Linked DNA regions of Coturnix japonica. The protein of the gene in region 2 interacts with the protein of the main gene of each other region in a pairwise test. Links are inferred from orthologs where the notes say so. Each region holds a gene or a part of one and is shown on either strand. Other genes may lie near its edges.

What was found.
Region 1: the proteins of CPNE2 (region 2) and UBA3 interact in binary tests that used the Homo sapiens proteins (3 or more experiments, as listed by UniProt). The two-hybrid records come from large-scale screens. The link is inferred for Coturnix japonica from reciprocal best matches to the Homo sapiens genes CPNE2 and UBA3.

Annotation. Positions count from the first base shown.
Region 1 is NC_029527.1:12,738,884-12,746,723, forward strand, and holds the start of UBA3 (NEDD8-activating enzyme E1 catalytic subunit), read right to left. Parts: upstream 4,603-7,840; 5' UTR 4,539-4,602; coding exon 4,519-4,538; exon of another isoform or gene 4,506-4,518; coding exon of another isoform or gene 4,504-4,505; intron 4,382-4,503; coding exon 4,340-4,381; intron 1,888-4,339; coding exon 1,767-1,887; intron 802-1,766; coding exon 721-801; intron 1-720. Other genes in the region: ARL6IP5 (PRA1 family protein 3), read left to right, coding at 5,352-5,527. UniProt on the Homo sapiens protein: Catalytic subunit of the dimeric UBA3-NAE1 E1 enzyme. E1 activates NEDD8 by first adenylating its C-terminal glycine residue with ATP, thereafter linking this residue to the side chain of the catalytic cysteine, yielding a NEDD8-UBA3 thioester and free AMP.
Region 2 is NC_029526.1:1,812,790-1,820,450, reverse strand, and holds the start of CPNE2 (copine-2), read left to right. Parts: upstream 1-3,367; 5' UTR 3,368-3,766; intron 3,767-3,825; exon of another isoform or gene 3,826-4,097; intron 4,098-7,634; exon of another isoform or gene 7,635-7,652; intron 7,653-7,661. Other genes in the region: protein NLRC5, read left to right, coding at 1-45, 169-252, 1,185-1,268, 1,716-1,797.

The DNA.
Region 1 (7,840 bases), on a different chromosome or scaffold from region 2:
ATCCAAACACATAAAAAATTAAGTTAATCTTTGGCTGCTAATGATAAACTCTCTATTAGCCACTCTTTGTATAGTTCATTTCCCAGGATCTCATAATTGGGGGAAGGCTGAGGGAGTTGGGTTTGTTCAGCCTAGAGAAGAGAAGGTTGCGGGGTGACCTCATTGCAGCCTTTCAATACCTGAAGGGAACTTACTCCCAGGAGGGGAGTAAACTCTTCAAAAGGGCTGATAATAGCAGGACTAGGGGAAATGGTTTTAAGTTAAAAGAGGGAAGATTTAGGTTGGATGTTAGGGGGAAGTTCTTCACTAGGAGAGTGGTTAGGCCCTGGAACAGGCTGCCCAGGGAGGTTGTGGATGCCCCGTCCTTGGAGGTGTTCAAGACCAGGTTGGACGGGGCCCTGGGCAACCTGATCTAGTAAACGTGTATGTTTGGTGGCCCTGCCAGGCAGGGGGGTTGGAACTACATGATCCTTGAGGTCCCCTCCAACCCGGGTCATTCTGTGATTCTGTGTGATTCTGTGGGGAAAATACCCAATATTAGGCCCTACCTAAGGCTGTAAATAAACATTTTCCTGCACTTCATACACAGCAGCACACTGCTCCTCAGGAGAAACACTGAGAGAGCTCAAAGAAAATAAGTACACCTTACACTACCACCCTTCAAGCTCATTTCAAGGAGTAACTAAGATCACAAGAAAAGGATGAAAACTGAGTAATTACCAGGTTCTTCAGGAGTTCACATCCTAACCCTCCTGCTCCAATAACTAGTACTTTACACGTGCTTAAAAGAAATTCAAGAGCCTGTGGAAAATATAAAACAAACAAACAAACAATTAATACATCATATAGGAAAAGGTACCATTTGTCCTTTGTTTCATACACCTTACAATTGTGTCATCATAAATTTTCAGTGCACAATAAGCTTCATATAAAATAAGTTAGATCAATAACATAGTTTAAGCTTGCAGGAATAATTATACTTGGACTTTAATCAGTTGTTAAGTTCATGTAATTCCTGTATCTCTACTTAAAGGAAAGCGAGTCTGTTTGCTATCAGTATTCTCTTTGAATTAATTTGGCTGTGAAAAAAGAAAAGCAAGCTCCATTTTATTATTACTCAGTTTAAGGACACATTTCAGTTTAGTGTTTTTCCCCCAAGCAGCTTGCTTACATATAATACAAAATAAACAGATAGAAAACATTGCTGGCCACATAGTTTTTTTTCTATTAACTACATTATTAGACTCTATAGTCAAAGTAGCATATAATGGAATGGTACATTTAAAAGGTTAAACACATTCAACTTTAAGCTTTGAAACAAAAGGTACCAAAGCAATGAAAGGAGAAGAAAATTCAGAGAGGCAAAATTTTGCTTTTCCCTATGGAATATCCCAATTCTCCAAGTACTCATATTAAGTTTAATTTCTTAAGTACAAGGAATTCTTTACTGTGCCTAATTGTTTAAAAATCAATAGACTAACACTATTTTTCATGTGAAACTCAAAGATGGAGAATAATTATTACTGTGTATCATAGAATACATTTCTACACATGCCAGCAAGTTGACAGTTTACAATCTAGAAATAAAAGTATATGAAAAGAATATGACACACTCTTCTAATATAATCACATTCACCAATTGAAATACATGGTCTTCACATAGGTTTACTGTTCATATACTGCTGGTAGTCAATTAATGAAACCACTGACATTAGTTTCCAACACACAATACAGTTGTTTCTTAATTTAAAGTAATTGTTTCTCACTTGAGTGCCTGGCTCGAAATCAGGATGTGTGAACGGTCCAGATCGCTCGAGGAACTTCTTTACATGGTTCCAGCGACCTTCCCAGTCTCCAGAGTCCCCATACCCACCATCAACAGCCATTCTGCACAGAACACAGTAAATTCAGCTGCAAAACCATACAGAAATAGCCACACTTCTAAAACGTGCTCTTTTTTTTTCTTGTATAGGTTAAAAGTAAAACACTGATCAGCCATGCAAACGGATCCACATGTTTATGTTGATCACAAACACGTGTAAGCCCACATCTGCAGGAGTGGGCTTCATCAGTGGCCCCAGTAAGCAGTAATACAAACATGCAGCAGACAAAAACTGGCATTTCAATAAATCCCACTGATTTTGCTGCTACTAGTAAAAGTTGATCTGAAGAGAAACGAAAAGGGTGAGCTCTTTTCCCTTTTATTTCCCTCACATTTTAAGAGAGCATGTAAAAAGAGGCTGCCCTTTAGATTTTGAGGGTGCTGTTCCCTCAACAAAGTGAACAATCTTCACCTGCCATGAGTCCCATGTATTTAAGACACTCTCATTTTCCACCTGTCTCCTGAGCCTGTTAGTAGTTACTATCTAACTTGAAAAATAAACTTGCAGTTTTCTTCTTCTAAATTACAGATACAGAATTTTACACGAAGTATTCCCAGTACCTTTTGCAGGTCACTTTTAGTAGTACACAACTATAAAATTAAACTGTTAAAAGACTTACTAGAAAAGCTCAAAATCAGCTCACTTAAATAATTTCCTAATGTAACAGCACCTACAAGGAACAAGCCTTTCCTTAACACAGCACACCTCCCTTTTTAAGTATGAGCTCCACACATGAATACAAATGACTGTTTGCTCTATGTTAATACAAAACTAAGCTGGTTATAAATGAGCTTAGAAAGGTTGGATCATCATCGATAAGAAGCATTATTTGGTTCCTCCTATGAAGAAATATGAAGAAAGTCTATATCAATAATTGTTGATCAATGTTTAGAATGTATTACTTCCTTGGGTCACATCTAGACAGTGAATCTCTTGATCCTCACAGAATTCAGATGGAGACAGAACAGCGTCTGTGATGGCATTAACTTCTAGGTCATAGTTTTGCAAAAGGTTTTCAGTAATGGGAGAAAAAACTTAACTGAAAAACAACAATAAACATATTGGATTCTGCCTGTACTTTGACCGCTGATTGAACTCCATCCTGGTCAACTGTTGGCTTTACATAGGTTAACCTAGCAGTTAAATAAATTCTTCATAAGGAGCTTAAGTACATAGAGGATATTTTGATCTGTATCCTGTGTTTCCCACTTTGCATCAAAGTAAGATTTTAGGAAAGCAGGACAACATAAAACTCTTCCTCCACTGAATCACAGTCTCAGCTGTTTTAAAATAGGATGTTTATGAAACAATAACTTCTGCAAATGTAACATGGGTGATTATAAAGCACAATAATTGCTTGTATGGATTTTATCTTGTTCTGGAAAGAAGTGCAGAAGTTAAGTCTGGTGATACTACAAAGGATTCTTTAATCCTTCTTTTCAGGCAGTATAAACAGCCACCAAGCAGCTGTAGTTGTCTGTTTAGATGTTTATTTTTCTTTTTAGTGGTAAGATGGCAAGACCTCGTCTCAATTTTGCGAATATATTAGCTTGGTTTTTACAGAGTTGGACATTGTGGAGACCTGAAAAACACCAGCAACTCAACATGAGGTGTTACGTTTAGCTTTAGAGACACGTTTATTCTTGTGTTGTTACAGCACAACCAGGCATTCACATTATTAGAATTCAACAAAACTTGCATGTGTTTCAGTGAATTTTAGATCTTGTTCAAAACATCAGAGCACCACAACCCTTCTAGGCCCACACTTTTCCCTGCCACCTTCGCACACCCAAATGCTCCATGCTTGTGCAGGATGTGGCATGCACCCCACAACCCACATGCCTCGGGGTTTCTGTGACCCTCACCCCAGCACGGCTCTGGGAGCTTTGGGAAGAGGGCCACAAGGAGATGGAGGGGAACAGTCAAGGGATGGAAGCATATGAGGTCAGAGATTTCTGCATGTTAGTTTTTAAGGCTGAGCAGAATTTAGAGCTTTAAGAAGCAGAAGCAGCTGCTCTGTAGACTGAAATATTCACTTTGGGCTAGTTTTGAATCACCTGCTCCTAGCCTAGCAGCTCTGCCAAGTCCTGGCCAGCAGCAGCTCTCCCACTCCTGCCACAAAGCTCTCAGCACACCAGCCTTCATCATGCCAAGCTTCAAGCCCGCAACCCACCCCCTGCTGCGGGTGAGCCCCTCGGTCCTCTCCCCAGGAGATTCCTCTCCCCCAGTCCTTGCTGCTCAAGCGCCCTTTCACCTTCCCCTGGCTCTCTCTCACCCCCTCAATCTTTCTGCTCCCAGGACCCATCTCTGCGGCCTTCACAGCACAGCCCAACCTCTCTGCGGGGCTGCGGCTCCCCTCACTGCCAGCCGCCCTTCCACAAGCGCTGCCTGCTTCTATCTCTGTCCCTGTCTCTACCCTGGGCCGGGAGCCCACTCGCCCGCAGCCCCGCACTAACCCATCCGCCAGCAGCTCCTCTAGCCTCCTTCTTTTCTTCTCCCTAAAAGAGAGAGAATAAAAGAAGGGTCAGTATCGCGCTACACAGACCGGGGAGGAAGGAGAGGGGACCCCAGGGCCCACCCGTCCCCGGGAAGCGTGGGGAAGGGGCTGCCGAGCACGCACATACAAGGCACTTACGGTTCCTCACCATCCGCCATATTTTTTCCCTCTGCTTCCCACAGTGCCCCGCTCGCCGCCGGGCTCCTGCCATGCGCGGCGCCATCATGGGCGGTGCTATGGGGGCAGGGGGGGATGATTCCTTAGGGCTTCTGTGTGTGATACACAACATAGGGTAAAGGCAAACATAGAGATAGCTTTAGACATGCCTCCATCAGCCAGCTCTGTCGTGTCAGCTCCTCTCTCAAGTATTTTCTGTTGTCTTCCCATGGGAGCGCATAGAGCTGCACTGCACACAGGGGTCTGTCTATATGCAGAGCGAGGAGCGCTGCTGGAGCTGGGAGGTGGGAAACAGACCGTGCAGCGCTCATAGAGATCGTGATCATGGCCTCAGGCTCCTGAATGCACCCTGAGGAACGCGAATACTTCGTAGATTGAGAAGCTGCCACAAGCCCCAGACGTTACAGCCACACCTGCATCAGGCATGTGTGCTCAAGCCACGATAAATGAAGCGTAAAAACACTGAAAATGTCCTAACGTGAGAAGTTAGAATCATCACAGACACTGCGGTTGGAGGATGGAGGATTCGGGGTGCATCCACCTCAGTGTGACCCGAGGCTGTAGAAGCCCCACCAGCCTCATTGCCGGGGATGCAATCCGGATTCGGCGTGACATTTGTGTAGAACGAGCGAACAGAACGTACAACCGCCGGTGACGAAAGCACCGTACAGTGCCGGGTACGCGGAGATCTACGTGCCGGCCTCTCCTTTCCCATTTCCCCGCTGCCCGGAGCCGCCCCGGGGCGGTACCACGAAGCCCGAGGCCTGCGCGGCGGTGGGGCGGGGGCAGCAGCCATGGAGGTGCAGGTGGCTCCTCTGCGCTCCTGGGAGGATTTCTTCCCTGGTTCCGATCGTTTCGCCCGGCCCGATTTCAAGGACATCTCGAAATGGAACAACCGGGTTGTCAACAACCTGCTCTACTACCAGACCAACTACCTGATGGTGGCCGCCGCCGTCGTCGCCATCGTAGGGTCAGTGTGCGGGGGGGGCGGTGGGGCTGATACTCCCAAACGTACAGCCGCCCTTGCTTTGTGTTGGGTGGGGGCTGGCTTATTTAGAAGGTTATTTTGACGTGGTTTTTAATTCCTCTTGTGGCTGGGTGGCAAATCTGGGAGCTGCCTTTTGTTTCTCGGGGTGCCTGGCAGAAAGCAGCGGTGGGTGTGGGTGCCGGATGTCACTGTCTGCTCTGCGGCGATCGCTGCTTCCTGCCTTAGTCTGCCCAGTGTGGCTGTCAAGGGGAGATAAACTTCACTCTGAATTCCAACAAATGAGGAGATAAATTCTGCTCTCTGTTACATCTTTAAGCCTACGCTGAGGGGACAGAACAAGCCTTTCTTATTTCTGACCTAGTGCAGATTGAAAAGCCTTCAATATAAAATAAGCACGGTACCCATCCATCTTTGTGAGACCGAGACCTTCGTGTCTCATGTCAGCTGTAGATTCCCTAGGGAGAATTGGGAAAGAACCTAATCATTATTAGAATTAAAGCCTGTTTGACTCTTCTGTAAGTGCTGCTTTAAGATCAAGAAGCTCTTTGTCAGGAGTTGCAGCAGAGGCTGTGATGATTAAGCTTTTAAAATGGAAAATGAAATACGTTTCCTACGCTCGTCACCAAACAATGTGCAAATGCTTAAACCGGAGGATTGCCTGGCCACTAGGCCAAAGTGGTTATGGCAGAAGTATATTTTATCATATGTGTTGCAGAGGCTTAAGTTCTTCGCCCTATCCTTTTGTGTATGTGTGTGTGTGAGTGTGTGAAGCAATCTGTAACTTTTTAGGGCTGCTGACGTTATTGACCCAGTGTCTGAGTCAGTGAAGAATCTTTGGGATCAGGGAGTTTTGTCCCGTGCTTTGTGAAAGGAGAAGCTGAGAACCCTGCTTTTTCCCTATTTTTTGCTGCATATCAGCTAAGGGGCATGGGAGATTTTCTTCTGAATTTTGGTGGAGATCTGAGCCCTCTACTCAACCCAGCAGCAGATCATTAGACAAGTAAAAAGAGATTTCCAGACCCTTACTCTCTTTAGAGGGAGTCTAATCTTCTCTATCTACCTTCATTTAGTAGTGTGATTACCATAACCAGTTCTAAATAAGCAGGTAAATTAAAGCAACACTTGAAGGCAGGAGAACAACTCATCTACCCCAAAAAGCTGGGAGGAAAAAAAAAATGAACAATTTAGTTATCCTCAATTGGAAAATTGGAATGGTAGCAGCTTTTACTCCTACATTCCTTCCCCCTTTTATTCTCTGATCTCACATCAGATCAAGGGTGGTGATACATTACCATTTATTTCCCACCGTTTTGCTGAGGTGGTGGTAGGGAGGAGAGCCACAAAAGGCAGAGATTAATACCAGAATTGTAATTCTAATGTATTTATATTAAATAGTAACCTGCTATGTTGAAAATATACAGGCAAGAAAAACCTGGAGTGAATTTGTTTTATTGCACATTTTAGAGCCTTTTGTATGTGGCAGACCTGCTTCTTCAACACTGAAGAAGAATGGGAGAAGAACTCTAAAGGAAACAGGCTAGCACTTCAATAAAGAAAAGCTATCCATTTCTTTTTAATAAAAGATTTTTCTGTTGGCCGAGCTGTAGCTTTGGGAGAAAAGCCAAGAAAGGTGTCCCAATTAAATTTACATTGATGTCTAAGATGCAATCTTGCACTTCACCCTCTAGTGGGCAGGAATCCTTGGGTGATAAGTGATGAATCATGGCTTTTTAGGAACTCCAGGACTGCATGTAGGCCTACAGGCAGGATTACTGAAACCAATAATGCAGTGGTCTCTGTGATCAAAACTAAACTTTGCCCATGACCAACTCTACCTGTTCTTAAGCCACCTTAATTATGCAGACAGGCATTAGATGCAGAGATGATATTTTGACTACTATAATAGCGTGGTAGCTGTGGTAATGCTGGGCTGAGATGGAAATTGTACTTACAGTATCAAGAAATCTCTGGGCAATGGTGCTTATTGCTGTGGCATAATTTACTGCCTCCTGGACAACAGAGTTGACCTCTTCAACATATCACCATCTCCACATCTCTTTATGGCATGGAGTACCTTACTGTGAGTGAGGGCCTTTCTTACTCTGAGCTAGGGCCTGTCACTGTGGGAGGCACATGCTTTGGCACAGTGTCTTCTCTGCAGCCTGAAGTTCAGTGTTGCTTTCCTTTTGCACCCTGCTTATTTAAACATCTACTGGCCATCTGCATAGCACCTGCAATGAAGTGCATGGGTGTCTTTTTCTTTTGTTTTTCTTTTAATTCTTTATTTCCTTTCCT
Region 2 (7,661 bases):
ACTCTCTCGTGGCTTCCAGCAATGCCCTGCTGTGGAGGAGATAATGTGAGTGTGGGAATGGGTGGGAATGGAGATCACAGGTATCTCAGGCATTAAGTAAAAGCCAGAACTTAGTGCCCTCAGCTGAGCTTGGCTCACTCACTGGCTGGAATTTCTTGTCTGTCTTAGATTGTCTTGGAACACCCTTGGTAATGGAGGAGCCCAAGCGTTGGCCAGCATCCTCCCAGGGATGGAAAAACTGAAGATCTTAGAGTGAGTACAGCCCTGAGAGTAGCACCAGAAGACTTGTATTTGTGGCAGTGAGCCTTCAGCTGCAGTACTGCTGTGGGATTAATGTAGGAGCAGCAGGCGGACAGGCTTCTGCCATCTGAATGCTTACTTAGCCTGCTGCCAAAGGCCAGCCTTGCTTGGATGATGCATAGAGCACAGAGGTGCTGAGGCAGACTTGTTTAATTGGATGTGTTTGCTGTGGGTATCTAAGCAAACGCTATCCGACCTATGCTTCAGGAAAGACAAAATGGTATTCCTTGAGGTCGAGCCATATCATCTAACAGTCTCAAGTGAGCTGCTGCTTGCAGTCTGTTACTTCTCTTTGGTGCCTAGGGTGGTCTGGATAGATGAGTACCCTTCTCAGACAGCCTGTGGCAGGGCAAGAAATACATAACCCAGGCTGTTGTGGCCTAACTGTGGGCCTTGGGCCATGGGAGAACATGGGAAGTTCTGATGCTGCTCCTGTGCTGGAGCTGGATTCAATGTTACACATTCAGGTCTGATCCAGTGGCATCACAGTGCAGCACTATTCGGTGATAGGGACCATCATCTGCTTCCCTCCCCTTGGCCCTTTGGAACATGTGGTGTGTGCCTTCCATCCCTCAGCTGGACAAAAATAATAGTTTGTGGTTCACGGGATCAGGATCTGAGTTTTGTTTGTCTTGGGCAGGGAAAACATGCAGTAGAGCTTACAAGTCCTATTGCTAGAAGGAGGCTGTGGGCAGCAGTGCGTGCTTCTTGTATAAATAGGGCTGCGGTCATCAAGACGAGGCTGGTGTCCATTGTGGAACGTGGTTGTGCTTGTGCAAAAGTGTAGCTCTTAGACAAGAGAAAAGAGGCAGCAATGGTTCTGCTGTTTTCTGCTCTTGATTTGGTTTTGCTTTTTAAAACTCTTTGTTTTTTTTTTAACACAGCCTGGAGAAAAATCGCATTGGTGCCCGTGGTGCTACCAGGTTGGCAGAGGAACTTGTCAGGTGCCCAGAAATTCAGTTCATAAGGTGAGTTCATAAGGTGTTACTGAGGGCTGGGGCCGAGTGTTGGCCCATTTAGGAGAATGGGGTGACCCATCATAGGAGAGATGTGACTTGTGCTGGCCTGCTGCCCCAGGTTGTCTTGCATGGACTAGGATGCTGCAGGGCATCCAGGCACAAGCCATGGAAAGTGGGGGTTTGCTGGATCAGAGAGAGTCCTGGGACAAAAGGCCTGAGGGCATTTCAAAGCTTAGGCCTCTCCCAACCTCGATCACTGAGCCCATCTTAGCAGGCAGGCGTGTGCTGAGTTGCTGCTGTGTTGCTGAACTTTGACCCTGCTTTGCTCCTGTCTCACTTTCGGACCAGCTTTGATAAGAACCCAAAGCTGCTTCTTCCATTTAACTGCTGTGCTGGGTGTGCCACCTCCTGGCCCACCACACCAAGTCCTGCATTCTGTGTTTGCTGTCATTGCAGGCTGTGGGACAACCCGGTGCCCAAGGACCTCGCTGAAAGTTTGACAAGCCAAGACCCAAGACTGTGCTTCTCCTTCTGTTAGCAAAGGACAGGCCTCGCCTGATAGCAATTGCTCTCTGTTTCCCATTGACCTCAAGAATTGCACTAAAAGGGATCCTGAAGAACACAGGAAACCAGAATTCCTCCAGTTAAAACCTGTGATTATGTCTTCCTTCGTTGCACTGGATGAGATGTGAGCACTTAGGTGTGTTTTGTTTATGGTGAGCTTTCATTGTGAACCAAAAGCCTGAAGAACCGCTGCTGAGCAGGCAGCATTCTCACTGTACCAACTCTCCAGCTAGTTTTGGGATGATGAGATGCATCTGATCACACTTCCAGAAAACAAGCAGAATGCTTCATTATCTTTAATCAAGATTGCAACACCTCCAGGATGTTCCAATCAAAGGATGAACATCCTCCAGGAGAGGATGTCTTTTTTTCTTACAGAACCGTGAACTGTTGACACAGATACGAATGCACTGGAACAAGCTGCTTGGAAACTGTGTGTAGCTCTTTGTAAGATAGCTCTAAAGGCTGTAATGTAGGTTGTTTGCTTCATAGCAGGCTTTCCCTCCTGCAGAACTGCTTCTGTTTCCTGGTAAAGCCTTTGTGTTATTGTAAAGTGAATGATGGATCAATGGTTGTCCAGCAGTGATGGTCGGGCAGTGATCTGTATTTGCATGGAGATATTATATGGGTAGGCTGATACTGCCATGTATTTCAGTGAGCAAACTGAAAGTACTGAGGCTTGTAAGAGAGCTGTGACTGTTCATTGTGAGAAGATACGCCTGCTTTCCTGTGCAGCTCTGCGGGGTTTTGGTGGCGTTTGGATGGCCCGCTGTGTCTTTGAGGTGATGTGAGGGATAAGTTAGCTTGACACACCACAGTGTGGACTGCAGAAAGGATCCTTCAGGCCTCTACCACTGAATCCCAAAGCCTGGCCGTGCGGCTGCTGGACCTGTGGAGACCAAAGGGAGAAGATCCCAAGCACTGAGTTTGATGTACTGCCAATGAGACCGACCACAGCTGCCCCTTGTCTGCATGGAACGACAGCTTGCATTGCAGCTATGTGGTTCTCATTATTTATTAACTTGTATTATAATGTTTTCCTTATGCGTTTGTGCTGCAAATATTTCATCCTTGCGGTGAGCTCATGGAATTTTGTTTACAGCAGCGTTTGCCCTGGAAAGAGCAAACTGCAGGGCAGGAATGGGAGCGAGGTGGAAACTCAGGGCTATCAGTGCAGCACTGCCCTGGGCTTGAGGCATCACACAGTGCCTGGGAAGGCTCCATGGTCCCCTACAGCTCCAGGTTCACCCCCAGATCCCCGATTACCGGCATCCATCAGCCCCGATTGTGGCTGCTTAGAGGGAGCGCAGGACGCCAGGTGTCAGCAGAGCCCTGCTTGCTGTATCGGCTGCTTCGGGCCTGACACGTCGCTGTGTTAAATCTCAGCGTTTCGAGGAGCTGCGATGAGGGATGAGATCAGGATGGGTGTTAGGAAAAGAGTGGTGGGACGTTGGGACGGGCTGCCCAGGGAGGCGCTGAGGGACGAGGGCAGAGCTGCTGGAAGGCGGGCTGTTGCTTGGCAGACCTCGGGGGTCTTTTCTACCCGTGATGATCCCGTCCCACCCCCGGTCCCAGCCTGATCCTGTCAGTGCCGGTCCGTCCCGTTGTGCCTCCAGTCCTCCGTGCCCAATCCCAAAGTTTCCGGGGGTGGAAGCTGAGGGCTCCCCGCATCCCTTCCCACCCACACCGTTAGCCTGGAGCGTTTTTAGATCCTTTACGACGTGATTTCGTCTTTATCACCGCCCCAAAAACCCAGCGGGGCCCACGAAGGGCTCGGGGCCGAGCCGGACCATTCCCGCCCACGGCGGCTCCTCACCGGGCTCCGCTCGGTCCCCGCGCGCGGGGCCGCCTGAGGGGGCGGAGGAGGGGGCGGTGCTGCGGGCCGCACCCCCACAGAGACGGCGGGCAGCGGCCATGGCGAGGAGCTGAGCCCGCGGTGTGCGGTGAGTGCGGACGGGACGGGACGGGGCGTAGCGGTGGTGGTGCGGCCGGCTGATGTCGGAGGTGTTTGCCGGCAGTGGTGGTTCTGCGATGGGAACGCTCCGCACTGCCCCGTTGTGTGGGAGCCGTTCGGTCCTGGGGTGGGCGAGGAGCAGGAGAGGTGGATTTATTTGGTGGTAGCCGTTGTTGGGAGGGAGCCGAGCGACCAAACGGCTGAAAGCAGCAGCAAAATGCCTCCTTGTCGCTCCGCTAAGAACTCCTTACGGCTTCTTTGAAACCTTTGTGGAGGTTCCTGACTCATCCTTCACAGCTCGGGCTGTTGGCTGGGCGCAGGTGAGTTGGGGGCTGTGCTTCTTGTCTGCTCTGTCTGGGCCTTTGGGACCAGATCGCCTGGGTTTTACATCCAGCACGAGACTCCAGAAGCTGAGGAGGAAGCATTGGGCACTGTGGGGCTTGTGTTACAGATGGGAACAAATCGGGGCTGGGAACACAAGTTTTGCTGCTAATTGACACGTCCAGCTCTGCACAACCATTCCAAGCAAGTTTAACATTCCCTCCGGTGGCTTCTAAAGGAGCCGTGAATCCACCAGGCTTCAGTCCCCTTACAAGCAGTGTTTGGGGTTTCGTGTCCCTGCTGCACAAAACCCTATCAGGGTGAAGCTTCGTGCCGGGCTGTGGGGAGGGAATCCTTTAGGAAAGGAAAAGGTGGGTTCTGAGAGCTGATGTTCTGTCTGTGTGCAGTGCGAGGCTGAGCACCGGCTGCAGGGCTGTCATCACTGCCTCCTCCATCGCTGCCCTCCTGCTTGGCTTCTGTCCCCAGCATCATTGTGCCTCGGTGTCAGTGCACTGGTGTGAATGAGCATTGCACAAAACTTAATTAGTGCTTTTTATAGCATCAGGCTTTGAACTTCTGGCTGTTCAGCAAGCCCAGTGCGTGCCCCGGCTGGCTTATGGTGACCCTAATGGATGTGGGCTAGGGATCATGATAGGACACATTGTTTATAGGGTGGTGGAAGCCCTGGTTCCTGCCCCACAACCAGCCCTGCTGCTGCTGGAGGCTGACTGGGAAACCCCTCTCTGCCAAGTCCTGCCCTTGTGTGGGGTGGAGGGGCCCGGGGGCTGCAGGTGTGTATGATGTTGGAAAATGCTTAAGGATATTTCTCATTGCTGAAGTGATTTTTTTTCCCCCTTCTGCCTCGTGTTGGCTGGGAATAGGAATTCAATTACAATTTGGAAGAAGAGAATTTGAGGTTTAATATATTAGATAAGCTTCTCAATAAGCCAATATACACTAAGCGTCCTGGGGTTGGAAGGAACAAATAGTTTCCATCTCGTATCAGGGTGGGAAGGCATCAGTGCAGCTGATGGCGTCTCCTGGCTCCTTACACCCCACAGCCCCAGCCCTGGGATCTGTCTCCAGCATTCACTTCTCAATACATGCAGCCTGCTGAGGGTTCGCTGCCATCGCCAGCATTCACAGTGACATCACTCTATTTTCTGCCCTAAATCACAAATTTCCCTAAATCGAGCCTGAGAGGAAGCGTGTATTTAAATGAAAACGTGTGGTTGTTGTGGTGTGTACCAGCCAAATGAGTGGCAATGGGGCCTGGTTGGAGGCTGGAGACAGCCCAGCCCTCCCTTTGCTCAGTGGTGCACTCAGACCCACCTGGGCTGTTCCAGGAGCAGGGAACAAGTGAGAGATGATCCTGGAGGGGAAAAAAGTGATGGAAATAGTCAAGCTGTGACCCAGCCAAGGGTCTGGGTGCAGGGACAGTTCCAACAGGATGGGCTGATGACACGCTCATGTACTGAGCTGTTACAGGCACCAGGTGCAGGCTGGTGAGTCCACTGTGATACCTGGGTGAGGCTGCACTGCAAACGCTTTGCTTTGCAAAATAATCCTGTCCGTGACCATGTTTGTTTACAGAACTGAGCTCAGAGATGTCCTCTGTGTGAACCCAGAACTACCTGCTTGGCTGCCATCTCTCCTGTTCTCTGCTTCTCCCCTACAAGGAGGCTGTAGTGGGTAAATTGAGTCATGGCTTCTGTGCCGTCCTGCAGGAATCGGTGCACTTCCCCAGGAAAAGAGAAGCCTTCTGTTCTCTATGAAGAGAGCAATATTGATTCCTTCTTTCCTACAGAGAGGAATAACTGAAATACGAGGGTACTGTTAACATTAAGAGCCCCCCATGTTCTGCATCACATCACAGCCCGCTGTCCCACTCTAGGCTCTGTGCTCACCCTCCCTCCCTATGAGGAGCTGTTATTGTTCTGCTTCCCTAAGAGCTGCGCATCTGTTTCCTTTTGTAACGTAAACTCTGACCCCGTGTCCGAGTTTTGGGGCGGTTTGTTTTCTCTTTCGCTTTTCTTTTTTTTTCCCTGTTAGTGCTGCAGATGTGGTCGGTGAGATGTGCTGCTCGCTGGGCTTCTATGGGGGAGGGAGAAAGAGGAGGAGGAGGAAGAGAAGAAGGAGGAAGAAGGAGATGGGAAGGAAGGAAGGAAGGAGTAGGAGGAGGGGAAGAAGGAGAGGGAAGAGGGAGGATGAGGAAGGGGAAGAGAGGAAGGGAGGGAGGAGGAGTGGGAGGGGAGGAGGGGAAGGAAAGAAGAGAGGAGGAGGGGGAGGAGGAGAAGGAATTGCTGGACTGCTGGAGTTGTATGAACCCACAGATGGGGAACACCTCTCTCTACCCTATGCTTAGGGCTGGTTATCAGGCAACTGCTGTGGGCAGTGCTGGATGTCAGAGAGATGCCATAGTGTGTTCCTGGGTGTGACATAGGGGTGAAGGGACCAGACAGGTGTGTTCCCTGCTGCCCAGAGCCATTCTTTGGTGAGCTGGGCATGCATTAGGGAACCACGTGGCAGCACAATGAGCACGAAGCTGGCAGCTGTGATTATACGTTGGTAGAATATTTGGCTGCGGGTGCCAAGTGAGTCGGAGGACTTCATTTAGGGCGGTGAATGCAGAGAGATGAGAACAAAAAGAGAGGAGAGGCTGGAATATAGATGTGGAGAGCCAGCTCCGAGCTCCAGGCATCCCATCACCCTGGGGGAAGGTAGTGGATGTGTGCCATCACCTGGCCCAGGGATGCTGCTGCAAGAGGGGTGATACAGGTGGCCAAGACCTCATTTGGGCATCTCCATCCACTGTGCAGAACTGGCCTGTGTCAGCAGCTCCCTGATAGAAAAATCATCTTTGCTGCCATCGTAGGCTGGTGGCACCTTTTGTCTTCCTGGGGAGTTTTTTACTGGGCACCCCTGTGACACAGTGGGCAGGATGGAGAGGTCTCATTTCAGGCTCTGGGAACTGATGGCCACCGCTCCCCTTCCTTATGGGTGCTTAGGCCACTGGATGGGAGGCAGGGTTGGACTGCAGACAATGTGCAACACACTCAGATGTTCTGGTGCCAGCCAGCCCTGGGAAAAAGCTTTTTCCAGTGAGTCATTTGCTGTCTGTGCTTTGTGTGAAGCAGTGATGAGATTTGGGGGAAGGGGAGAGATGGAAAAACGCAACCCAGATCTCCCTGCTCCAGCAGGACCCCATCTATGCCAGCACAGCTGCCCTGTGTGTGCTTGTTGAAGGCAGCAGCAGAAATAGAACAGGCCTGGCTATTTTAGGACATAGATTGCATGATCTGGGTGTTAAAATAATAATAATAAAAAATCTTTATTTTAGCTGCAACTGGCAGCATGGGCTTGGAGAGGAGCAGGCAGGTAGTGCCTGCAGGCAGCCGGGCTGGGAGGTAAAGGGGCTGGGAGGTCTTCTTTCACCCTTTTTGATGCTGTTCAAAGAACCAGGTGGTGTTTCTCCTCAAGGATACGGCAGCAGGGCTCCTCACCTGTGCTTCATTTTGGATTGCTGGCAATTGGGAGTGGCAGCGTTTGGTTGGGTGAGCATT